3 linked regions of the Ovis aries genome follow. The protein of the gene in region 3 interacts with the protein of the main gene of each other region in a biochemical or structural test. Links are inferred from orthologs where the notes say so. Each region holds a gene or a part of one and is shown on either strand. Other genes may lie near its edges.

Evidence for each region.
Region 1: of the proteins of CDK1 (region 3) and EZH2, one has a biochemical effect on the other in vitro, tested with the Homo sapiens proteins (5 studies listed by BioGRID). The link is inferred for Ovis aries from reciprocal best matches to the Homo sapiens genes CDK1 and EZH2.
Region 2: of the proteins of CDK1 (region 3) and RPS3, one has a biochemical effect on the other in vitro, tested with the Homo sapiens proteins (2 studies listed by BioGRID, with this or other methods). The link is inferred for Ovis aries from reciprocal best matches to the Homo sapiens genes CDK1 and RPS3.

What each region holds. Positions count from the first base shown.
Region 1 is NC_056057.1:113,214,537-113,218,657, forward strand, and holds the start of EZH2 (histone-lysine N-methyltransferase EZH2), read right to left. Parts: upstream 2,837-4,121; 5' UTR 2,710-2,836; intron 2,620-2,709; exon of another isoform or gene 2,604-2,619; intron 1-2,603. UniProt on the Homo sapiens protein: Polycomb group (PcG) protein. Catalytic subunit of the PRC2/EED-EZH2 complex, which methylates 'Lys-9' (H3K9me) and 'Lys-27' (H3K27me) of histone H3, leading to transcriptional repression of the affected target gene.
Region 2 is NC_056068.1:53,317,486-53,321,712, reverse strand, and holds the start of RPS3 (small ribosomal subunit protein uS3), read right to left. Parts: upstream 2,837-4,227; 5' UTR 2,807-2,836; coding exon 2,777-2,806; intron 2,235-2,776; exon of another isoform or gene 2,085-2,234; intron 1,940-2,084; coding exon 1,809-1,939; intron 1,538-1,808; coding exon 1,444-1,537; intron 563-1,443; coding exon 468-562; intron 1-467. UniProt on the Homo sapiens protein: Component of the small ribosomal subunit. The ribosome is a large ribonucleoprotein complex responsible for the synthesis of proteins in the cell. Has endonuclease activity and plays a role in repair of damaged DNA.
Region 3 is NC_056078.1:15,814,877-15,819,071, forward strand, and holds the start of CDK1 (cyclin-dependent kinase 1), read left to right. Parts: upstream 1-1,344; 5' UTR 1,345-1,415; intron 1,416-3,878; 5' UTR 3,879-3,903; coding exon 3,904-3,940; intron 3,941-4,195. UniProt on the Homo sapiens protein: Plays a key role in the control of the eukaryotic cell cycle by modulating the centrosome cycle as well as mitotic onset; promotes G2-M transition via association with multiple interphase cyclins.

The DNA.
Region 1 (4,121 bases), on a different chromosome or scaffold from region 3:
AAAGCAGATCAACTTTCTTAATCACTTCTTTAGGCCAAGTCAGAAACTAACTCAGACTCCTGGAGCATGCCAGCTCAAAGGATGGGGGATATCCTGGAAAATCTCCATGCGACCTGGGGAAATCTACCTACACATTTCTAGTGGTCAACACAAAGATAATCACTTTTACGTATGCATGCAAGGCAAAGCTGGTATAAACGAATTTGTGCTCTTTTTCTTTGCCTAACTATACTAAATCAACAAGCATAGTTTTTTATCACTGCTACTTAAACTAAATACACTCTCAATTCAAACACAAAAAATTTAAAACCAATTCCCCCAAAAACCTTTTCAAACAAAATCTTGTGGCAAGTACAAAGATAGTAATTATCAAATATAATGTACACAAGATGGGGAAAACTGAATTTTGTATTCTAAAAGATTCAAATTTCTGCCAAAATCTGCATAACTAGCTCACCTCCTAACAATGGGCAAGATTATCAGTAGGACTTTTTATAATTACCAACAACTAATATAAATGTAGACAATACTTAGGAACAGCACCTGGAATGTCAGTTCAGTGATGTTGAACACTGCAAAATGTGTAAGACTTTTACACTACATTTCTTTGTCTCCACTTTTTTGAAACCGTAAAATAGAAGGCTGCACATTAGATCAACAGATAAAACAATGCAAATAAGAAGAGTGTCTAAGTGTTTCTAAATTTCGTTCCTTTGAATACGTTCACTTTCCACAAAAATTAATATTTAAGATGCCATTTTCCTAAGTGTTTCCAAGACTTTAAACATTACATTCTCTCACACACCTCCAAAAAGAGAATAGGATTCTCTATATCTAAGACTAGAACCCCATCTATTCCTAACTTTAGGGAATAGGAAAAGGAAATTAAAATGTATCTTGAATACTTTCGTTTTCTTGCAAATAAAATGATCAATAGTTAGGATTACACACTTGCTCTACATTTTATCTCCAAACATAAAATATTTGCTAATGGTCATAAGGAGTAATAGAAAATAAACTCCACAACCAACCCCCCTAGCTCCCTAGTGATCTAAGGGTTAGGATCCCACCCGCTCGATCTCAAACCCCCCTAGAAGTACAGACTACATTCACCTGTGTTAGCATTAGTGTTTTTTAAAAGCTTTTTTAAACTGTTGTTTTAAATGTTGTTTTATGTGACATTGAAACGCCACAAAACTAAGCTGATAACGACCTTTCAAACCCAGCTAGCAAACCGTGCAGCATTTAAAGCATTTTTAAATACCAAAGACATCTTTATTTCCAAATGAATTAAAATTTTACAGATCCCGTGCGACAAAGTAGCTTAACTGCGGACAGCACACGTTCGATTTCTTAGGCAACGAACATTTCTGCAGCCAGTCTTTTCTGACTCAACAAAGCTATTGTTCACGGAAAACAAGTCCAATTAATGAGAAATTGCTAACCATACCATCCAAACACACATTTAGCATAAGCGTTTTCTTTGGACCAACTCTTTGTACCATCTCTTCCCCGTTCATCCCCTAGGGATTCGGGGAACAATCTCTCCTCACTAAATGACAGCTGATTTCGTTAGCACCTGTCGCCAGTCTCACACGAGTTGGCCAAAACAGCCTGGACAGGTTTCTTTTTTTTTTTTTTTTTTTGGAAGATGATGATTCTTCAGAAACTGGGGATTCACCAGGCGTTGAGTTCACTAAGTTTTCCAAAATACCACGCTTCTCGATCCCTCCCGTTCTTCACAAAGTGACCCTGAGGCACCGACTTTTGGGGAGGCGGAGATGGGGGTGGGGGGCCCACAAGGACGCGTGAACTCGACGGAAAGCCCTCCGTAACGAACAAAACCGCGGAGATGGGGGCGGGGGTGGGGGGTAGAACAGCGCGACCCGCCCCTCAAACTTAACGGAGAGCCCCGCCGAGACGACAGAGGCGGCCGGGGACCGCCTGGTCCGAGCGGGGCTCGGGGCCTCAGGGCTCCGGGGCAGCTTTCGGCGGAAATGTCAGCAAGCGCGGACGCCCGAGTCCGGTCTCCGCGCGCCGTCCCGGCCCCCGCGGCCCCGGGCCGAGCCTGCGCGCTCGCGGGGAGGGGGCGTGGGGCCGAGCCCGCCCGCCCGCTCCCCACGCCCCCTCTCCGCCCGCTGTCAGGCCCCGGTGTCACTGCCCCTGACTCGCGCCGAGCTCCCCCGAGACACAGTCCGTCCTTTGTCTCTGAGTGCGCACTCGGCGCTGAGGTCCCATCAACTTGTGTGGGTCCCGTCCCACCCGGGCGCTCCCGCCGCCGTGCCGCTCCACACAAAGGAGACCGGGGGCTCGGGCGGCCGGCCCGCCCCGGGCACCCGAGCGCCCCCAGCCCGGCCCCGGCGCCTCGGGAGGAACGGGCGCGCGAGGGGACCCCCCCCCCCCCGCAAACCCTCCGCTCGGCGCCCGCCCGGGCTCCCGCCTCGGGTTTCTCTGGCTCCCACACAGCCCGCCCGCGGGGGTCGCGCGGATCGGCCCGGGCCCACAGCCCTTTCCGAGGGGGGTGAGGGGAGGTCTCTTCTCACCCCCACGAGCCCCAGAGGCTCCCCGGGAAAGCCCGCTTGTGGGGGTGGGGGGAGGATTACCCGGACCGGCTGAGCGGCAGCGGAGATGTCCCGCCGCCGCCGCCCCACGCCGAGCTCCGGAGCCCCGCCGGCCGGCCGGCCTGCCGGCCCGACAGCGGCGCGTTACCTGCGCCCCGCGCCCCAGCCCGCGCCGCTCCCGCGCGCCGCTCCCGCGCGCCACCGCTGCCGCCGCCGCCGGGGCTCCACCGCCTTCTGCGTCCCAGTGGGTGTCGGACGCTCCCGGACCGAGCGCCAAACCAGGCAGCCCAATCGCCATCGCTTTTATTTGGCCCCCCCTGTCCAACCAAGCGCCGCCCCGATTGGCGGGACGCGAGGCGGGCTCCCGTCCAATCACAGGGCCCGCCGGCCTCTGAGGCGCCGAGCCAGCCCCACGCAGAGGCGCCCGCGGGACTCTGCCGGGCCGGGCCGGCGGCGCGTGCGCGCGGGCGGGCAGGCGCTGAGGGACGCTGCCGCCTGAGTGGAAGCGCCGCGCCGGCTCTTTGTTCTTTTCTCCGAACGCCCGGCGCCTCTCAGGAAGGCGGTGGGGCCGGCGTTCGGGGAAGAAGGGCCTCCGGAGCCCGAATCCCCAAACCGCGGGCGGGAAGGCGGGCTGGGCGGGGTGGCGGGAACCGGCCGGAGGGCGGGACGGCGCGCTCGCGGCGCTTGGCGGGAACCGCCGCTTCGGTGTTCCCGGGCCGGAGGGGCGGGGCGGGGCCGAAAGCCAAGTTTGAACCAGTTCAAAACTCGGGGTGGTAACGGTTTCAACTGCCGCGCTCTTTTTCCCCGCGCGCGCAGCGGAGGCCCTGGCCGGCCGGCCGGCGGGCGGGAAGAGCCGGACACGAGGGCTCGCGGCGCCCGGTCTGCCGGCCAGACGCCCTCTACGGCCCCAGCTCCAGCCCGGCTGGTCTCGGGCGAGGAGCTGCGAGCCTCCCGCCCTCCGGCGTGGCCGATGCGCCGTCCCCCGAGCCGAGCGGAGCGCCCTGCCGGCTACTTTTGTCTGCTGCCGCCCCTCGGCCGCTTGGCCCGACTCGGGTCCCACTGGACTTTGGCTAGTCGATCCCACAGTGCCCATCGCCTTAGAAACCCTGGGAAAGAGAGAAGTCACGATTATTTCAGATTCCTCATTCAGAGCGCCTTGTTCAAACCCTTTCCAGTGTTGCAGTGCCAAGCACGTGTCAGCGTTAAAAATCATTTATCAAGGATGATTGTTCATGTCCCTCGTGCTAACTTCTCTACAAAGTATTAAGATGCCAGCATTTTTCAAGTATTAAAAAAAAAAAAAAAGATCATGGGGTGAGCCTGTCTCCACCCAGAGGAGTTAGTGCTATTCCACTTAGGATACAGTCGCCCTTTTTGATTTATCTGGCAGTGAAGTTAAGGTTATTCCGATTTTTTTTTTTAGTAGGGTGTAACTATAGGGCAAAGTAACCCCCTCACCCACATAAACTGAGATTCCAAATTGAGAGCTCACGTGCGGGGCAGGGAAGACGGTCACCTATGAGCTCGAGCTAAAAGCCTAACGGAATCATGCTTTAACGG
Region 2 (4,227 bases), on a different chromosome or scaffold from region 3:
TCCAAGTAGTGAAATTACTCAAGGAACTGCCAGCTGAAATCTTATCAGCAAGCCCAGCTCCGGGGCCAATCTAACCACCTCATGTCCTCTGTTCCTCACATCACTATCTATAAATACCTACTGGGCATACCTGACTAGATTTTAAGCTCTCTTCTCAGCAATGAGTCTTCTCTCTTGAATCCCCAGAGTTACCACCACACAATGTATGTGAATGACTTCAACATGAACCCAAACCATTCCCCACCCCCATCCTACATTCATACTCCCACCGTGCTCTACTAACACCACTCGCTTTTTTAAACACTTGTCTTTACTAGTCTTTCTAACTAGGCTGCAACATGGATTGACAATGTCTTATTGTTAAAGCCCTCAGAGACTAGCTGAGCCTGTCCAGAGTCCACTTACTAAATTAACAAAATAGCTGATATACTGATTCACGAAAGGACACAATTCATAAGGACTCTTACCTCCGCACAGCAAGGCCTCCTAGGAGCTTGTAACGCAGAGACTCTGCCTGGGCAATGGCACACAGTCCTCTTGTGGCTACCTTTTCAGCATAAAGCTTTAAAGAAAACAAGGCACATTCTTAAACTTGTTACACTCATCACCACCGTTTTCAACTAAAAATCAGCACATTCATGATTCAAGCAGACACCCCTCTATGTATCACTCTATTTGTTCTCATTTAGTGGATGAGTGTGCAACCCCATTGGCTACAGCCCACCAGGGTCCTCTTCTTCTCCAGGCAAGAATACTGGTGAAGGTTACCATGCCCTCCTCCAGATCTTCCTGACTCAGGGACTGAACCCGCGTCTCCTACATTGGCACGCAGATTCCTTACCAGTAAGCCACCTGGGAAGCCCTTCACTGTACTACCCAAGTATTAAAGCACTTCTAATGCCCACATCTAACAAACACTCAGGGACGCAGACTGAACTGAACCATTCCTCATTTTTCTCCCACCCCCACCTCTTTCCACAGCCAAATCATGGAGATCAATGGGCAGCCAACCTCTCCTATGTATCATTACTAATTCCAAGATAGGTATAAACTGCTGCCAACTGCTTATTAAAAGACCTTCAACAAAATACCAATCCATTTGTAATACTCACTGATCACAAGTAAGCTTTCAGGGTGATAATATGAGTTTTCAGAAGTACCATCCTAAAGAGGGCTTCCCTGGTGGCTCAGATGGTAAAGAATCCGCCTGCAATGTGGGGAGACCTGGGTTCAATCGCTTGGTTGGGAAGATCCCCTGGAGGAGGGCATGGCAACCAGCTCCAGAATTCTTGCCTGGAAGACTCCCCATGGACAGAGAAGCCTTGGGGCCATGGGGGTCACAAAGAGTTGGACACGACTGAGCGACAAAGCACAGCACAGCACCATCCTGAAGAGCCATTTCTAGCTCCAGAGTAGCCTCTGGCACAAGCCAGGATCACTCACCTCTACACTGCCTTCAGGGAAGCCGAATCTCTTCTGAACCACAGCAGTCAATTCCCGGATCCGCCGGCCCTTCTCACCAAGTACATTCTGTGTCCTGGGGAAAATGAAGAGTGACAATTCACAGCTCTCATAACATTACAGATGTAATTTTAAACCTTGCACACGTGTGGTAGTAAAAATCTAATTCATCTGACACAAGAAAGCATAAATTTTGGATGACAAGAACTAAGAGATTATCTTTTTTTTAAATGCAGCTTAAAAACTCATTCACGATGACTCAACTGTTGTTCTGCTACGTTTACAGAAGAAATCACCTTAGTGCAGACAACAATTACAGGTGATGGCCAGAAAAATGAATTTTTCACCTGGTGGCCAAGATGATGATCTCTGTCCTGGTTGGTGTAACTCGGACCTCAACTCCAGAGTACCCATCTTCGGCCAGCTCCCGAGTGAGAAACTCGTTCAGTTCAGCTTTGAAGATGCCATCAGCGACAAACTAACCAAAAGCAAAATGAAAATGAGGATCTGGACATGGGCTCAGGTTTCTAGCCCAGTCAATGCAACCCTAATCAAGATTCAACACCTCCAACCAACGACCCATCATTAATTATTTTGCCTTGTTCCAGAGAAAACATAGCAACCCTTCTCAGACAAATGCCTCTAAGTCATCTTTTGGAAGTTAACTTTGACCCAGGCCCTTAAAACTGTGCCACAGAACGCGGCACAGGGTAGGGGTCACCTGGACAAAGAGAACACCTCCAGTCAGACTCGTCATCTCCTCTTCATTGAAGGGTTTTAAATAATCAAACCGTTTCCCCCAGGTCCCTTCCCTCTATTTCCCCAGAACGTTTCCTTGACCCCAAGATAGAACAAGAAATTGTCAGTAACCTTCCAAACTGAGGTCCTTGGGGTCAGAAGCCTGCACCCAGACAAGCCTAGGAAGAAGGCAAGCGAACACTGCTACCTCCCTTTCTCAAAGCTACCATTCGATGAGGGAAAGGCTCATGCATTCAAAACATCACATTTAGTAACTTTACTAACTACTGACTAAGAAAGGCTCACAAGCGCTCCTCCACGGCAGGAGGAGCCCTCAGTGCTCATCTCTGCTCTCCGCCCGGAACCGGCAGAAATCCTTCTCTCCTATCCCAGCCATACCGTTCTCAGCAGCCACGGGCCTGCGCTCAATCCACCGCCATCCGCAGCCCACGGGAAAGCGACACAGTCCGGCCGCTGCCCCGGGCATAGCGAAGAGCTATAAGTCTCGCAATAGCACCCAGAAAGGCTCCTGACCCGCGAAACGCCACTTCCCTGCAACCGGGCCCCGGGATCTCACCTTCCTCTTTTTGGAAATTTGCACGGCCATCTTGCCGACGCGAGCCGCCGAAAGGAAAGGAAGTGGCAAGCGGGCGGAAGTGCGTATAAAGGGCGCTGTGCGACGACAAAGAACTGCGCGACGTCGACGCCTGTGAGCGCTCATGGGAAGTGTAGTTTTCACTTTGGTAAAAGGAAAGAGAAAAGCGCGGTCCAAGGGTTGATGCTTTTGAACTGTGAGGTGTTGGGGAAGAAAGGAAATCAATCCTCAGTATTCATTGGAAGGACTGATGCTGAAGCTGAAGCTCCAATACTTTGGCCATCTGATGCAAAGAGCTGACTCATTGGAAAAGACCCTGATACTGCCTTCAGAAAGACTAAAGTCAGGAGGAGAAGGGCAGGACACAAAGGATGAGACAGTTGGATGGCATCACCGACTCAATGGACATGAGTTTGAGCAAGCTCCGGGAGATGGCGATGGACAGGGAAACCCGGCGTGCTGCAGCCCATGGGGTCGCAAAGAGTTGGACACAACTGAGCGACTGAACAACAACAATATCCAGAAACCTGGGCTTTCCAGGTGGCACTAGCGGTAAAGAACCCGCCTGCAAATGGAGGAGAGAGAGTGGTGAGGGGTCGATCATAGGGATGAGGGGTCGATCTCCAGGTCAGGAAGATCCACTGGAGGAGGGCATGGCAACCCACTCCAGTTTTCTTGCCTGGAGAATCCCATAGACAGAGGAGCCAATATCTCAATCAGAGCTTTAAAAATTCAGGGAAGTTTAGAGTCCAGTTCTCATCAGTTTAATTAGAGCCCAGTTCTCATCAGTTTAAAACCAAGTATAAACACACACTTATCTGCTAACTTTATTCTTTAATGAAAAAAAGTAAAAGCACTTTTGGGCTGAAAGCCCTCAGAGAAATTCACTGAGGCACCTATCTCTTCCAATTTGTGTCCACTTCCTCTGTTGCAAACTGATAATATATATATAATATGTATTAAATATTCTAAGGACTGTTTTAGGACTTTATATTATTAATTCATTACCTCTACCTCACGTTCATAAAGTATGTTACAGCTTGTAACAGAAGTTACGATAATGGCTCGCAATTCTTTTTCAATTAAAAAAAATCTCCCCTCGCAGATTTTATTACAAAAAATTTCAAACATACAGAAAAGTTGGAAGAACTATACAGTGTACACCTATATATGCATCCCTTAGGTGCTGCAATTAACATTTTTTTCTGTATTTGCTTTATCAGATATTTATCCTTGCCTCTATCCACCCAACAGTGCATCTTTTGATACATTTCAAAGTTACTTTCAGGCATCAGGACACTTCACGCCTTAAATTTTCCCAACAGTTTTTTTTTTTTTTTTTTTCCAGTTTTACTGAGAAATAATTGACATACATCAATGTATAAGTTTAAGGCATACAACATAATGGCTTGATTCACATATCATGAAATGAT
Region 3 (4,195 bases):
TAAAATTAGTACCCTAAACTAGCAGAGAATAGTCTTCTCTAGAACACAGTTTTCATTTTATTTAAGGCAATTTAAGGCAGTTTTCATTTAAAATGTGAATTTGAGATTTTAAAAATAAGTTTTAAAAGTTATTAGGTTCAGGCCAAGTTTTCCCAAATCTCGTACTTCTACTATGAATTTAAAATATTCTGTCACCCAGGAGCACAAAATTGCCAAGGTTGAGTGTTTGTGCCACATATAGGGGGCCATGTGATAAACTTATTCCATTCCTTATCCTAATCTGGATCATCAAACACATAGTTGTAGAGGGCATGGTAATCAGTATTTGTTCCAGATCTCGATACAGTCAGTGGAAAGACTCTTACTATCCTCAGTTCTATTTTACTTTTTTATTTTCTTAAAGACTTAAGAATGATGTTCAGGTGCAGAAATCTCTTTAGGATATGGTGGAGGGCAATGAAAGAGTTTGGGGATACGGGATTATTTAAAGTGTAATTTAGATCTTTTTCTTCTCCCACAGAAGTGTGAATTTTTGTGTTTTTAAGAACATTTAAAATTCTGATGTGAGAATATTTTAACATTTAAGAAAAGAAAAATTTTGCTTTTTAATTTTTAAGTCAAAATGTTACATAGATTTTAAAAATGAAATTTAAAACAGTGAGGTGAAAACAGCTCAGCCATATATGTGTGTGAAATGTGACAAAAATGTATCTAACTCATATTCATATATATATTTATATATATATGAAAAGTTTCTTTACCCTGTTGAGGACATCTTTCCTAGTTTTCTATTACCTCTTTCTATTAAAACAAACTTTATTTGTTTTGTTTTTTGGCTGCCTTGAGTCTTAAGTTGAGCATGAGGGATCTTCCCCTTGGGACATGCAGAATCATGCTCTTTGACCCAGACTGAGATTCATTATTTTAGAAAAGCATAAATATACATTAGCTTTCAGTATCAGAAATGAAAGTAATGGGATCTGGATTACGTGTAGCACCACTTCTGTGATGAACTATTTGAATACCTCAAATTTTTATTGTGCCAATATTGGGAGAGAAAAAAACCCAACCCTGAGAGGACAGTAGATTTCTTATGACTAGAAACAATAAGACGACCCTATCTTGGAACGCGCTTGCGCTCAGACTCAGTTGGCGCCCGCCCTTCTGCTTTTTCTCCAGCCGCCGTTTCCTCCACCTTTCGCGCTCTAGCCACCCGGGGAGGCCAGCGTTAAGGGAAGCTAGGCTCTGATTGGCTCCTTTAAAAGTCTACGGGCTATCTGATTGGTGAATCCAGGACCCTTTAGCGCGGTGAGTTTGAAACTGCTCGCACTTAGCTCCAAAGCTGGCGCTTGGAAGTTAGGGAGAGCGTCGCCGACTTGGTAGCCGCCGCAGCTTTCGCCGCGGGATAAAGCCGGGTAGCGTTGGTGAGGTCAGGGTGTTGCCTATGGGGTGTCCACTCGGAAGGGCTGGCTCGCGGACCTTGGAGGGGGAGTATTAATGAAGCAGGTGATAATTGGGAGGCTGGGCTCTGGGCAGTGGGGTTCTGCGTACCGCCAAGCCCGGCCTTAACCGGAGGCCCCGGGCCTGCGCATGGAGCGACGCCCAACCTCGGCTTCAGTGGGAGGCGTGGGGGAGCCCAGCCCGGCCAGGCAGGGTTGGCATTGCTGTGGTCTCTGAATTGCAATCTGGGGTCGCGGGCGGCTGAGGAGGCTTTCTGGGGTTGATGGAAGGCAGATTTGTGCCTTCGTTCGCCGACACCAAGCGCTTGTGGAGTGCCAGGCTCTGCCCTGCAGCTCCTAGCTTCGCCTCCGGGAGTGGAAAGCAAGATTGCAACTCAGCCCGGTGCTCGGGCCTGCTTCTAATCCCAGGTGGTCACGGGAAACCGACCGGAAGAACTAACTTGTGGGCCTTCTCAGCTTGCCTCTCTGCTCCCATGACCCTAGCTTACCTGGAGCTTTTAAGAACACTTATCCTGGGCATAGACCCCGAGAGAACTTGGATTTTTTGGATTTTATTTTATGCTTGGTGGTTGTTACATACAATGGAATTGGCAAAAACTGGAAATCTAAGAAACGCCGAGAGTTAGAAACGTGTCATTTAAAATCCTTTAATCAGTTTTAACGTGCAGGTCTTGCTTTCTTTAAAGACCTGGAGGTGTCTGGGTGGATGAAGCCATTGGTATTTTACATCCTGCCACTAGGAATAGAGGAGGCATTCAAAAGGCATTACGAAGCCACATCCTTTATTTAAAATAGTTGCAACCAGGGAAAGGTGAAAGAGTAATTGAACCCAGCTTTGAAATTGAGTTAGTTTTCAGTTATTTTGTTTAAAATAAGCTCCACAGTTTCATTGTGATTTGGGCATATTACAGCTGGATATTGAAGAAAAGATAGTTAGTCCTAATCCATTGCCATTTGTAAAATTGAACATTTTTAAGATGGCCAGAGTAGTGCAATTTTGTTTATTTAAAAAAGTTTATCTCTGCTTGTGTCTGGAATGATTTTGAAAAAGAATGTGAGAAATTTAACTCAAGGGTCAATGTAACTTAAGGTTCAGTGACCTTTATGATTTTATCAGTGATATAAAATGATGGTTTGGGCTTCTGAAGTTGATGTTTCCATGGCAAACTTACCAGGAAGTCTTGAGTATCTGGTTGTCATTTGGGCTTTTTTTTTCTTAACCATTTTTTTGTGTGTGTGATTCAAGTATATGGACATTCTTTGTTCTTGACATTGCATGGGATATAATTAGACTTTATGTATGGAATTGCCCATTTTCTTTTAGAGTGCTTAGTGATATTTCCTACTTTACAAAAGGTATCTTGAAAGTTTTTTTTTATCATGTTTGTGTTACGTGACTCCTGACAACAAGAGAAAGATAAAAACTGTCATTTGAGCAAGTTGAAATGAATATACTTTTGCTGCTTTAAATATTTTCTAATGGTTGAACAGTGTGACCACATTTTAGCTCCCTACTCATGTCTTTAAAAATTGTTTATTAACTTCATAAAAGTATCATGAAGCTACAAATTCAAGTAGCATTCATTGCTAAACTATTTGGGTATAACTGGCGCACATTGATGAGCCTTGGAAGTCTTATGTAAAGAACATCAGGGTTTTCTTTGGGACGGATAGATGTTGATGTCTGAATTTGAAAGTTAATTTTGAAAGAAGCCCCCAGGTGGCTCTAGTGGTAAAGAACCTGCCTGCCAGTGCAGGGAACATAACAGACAGTGGTTTCCATCCCTGGGTCAGGAAGGTACCTTGGAGGAGGGCATGGCAATCCACTCCAGTATTCTCGCTTGGAGAATCCTATGGCAGAGGAGCCTGGCAGGCTCCATAGGATCACACAGAGTCGGACACTGAAGCGACTTAGTATACCAAAGTTATCCAGGTATAGGATATACAAATATTTCCAATGTTTCAGAAGCTAAGAAAGGTGGGAGAGTCTTGAGCTCTTCCCCTTGTAAATATTGTTTTAATAGAATAGCTAATATTATGGAAAAATTTTTAAAAATTTATTTGTATTTGGCTGCACTGGATGTTCATTGCCACAAGTGACTTTCTCTAGTTGAGGCAAGTGGATGCTACTCTCTGTTGCGGTGCACCAGCAAGGTGCACAGGCTTCAGTAGTTGTGATGCTTGGGCTTAGTTGCCCTGTGGCATGTGGAATCTTCCTGGACCAGGGATTGAACCTGTGTTCCCTGCATTGACAGGTGGATTCCTATCCACTGCACCGTGAGGGAAGTCCTATTATGGAAAGTTAGTACTGCTCTAGGCACAGTGGGAAATTCTTTACTTGTAATATCTTATCAATAACTTAAAAGCACCCTTTGAATTGGTGACATGTGATCAAATAAGCTTTTCTTCTCATTTTAGGATCTACCGTACCCACTGATTAACTATGGAAGACTATACCAAAATAGAGAAAATTGGAGAAGGTGAGTGGCTTTAATAATATACAAGGAATTTTAAAAATGATTTAATGGTTTGACATGTAAATATTCAAATTCAGTTTTTAAAGTATCCAACAGTCATTAGTACATTAATATATATGTTCTCATATATATATGCTATATATAGTAGCATAAGCAAAAAAAAAAAGTTAACCTTTCAAGAGCACTGAAATTATTCTGACATGTCTCCCTACCAGCATCCCTCCAATAATCTTACATTCTTCTAATACTAAACACTTA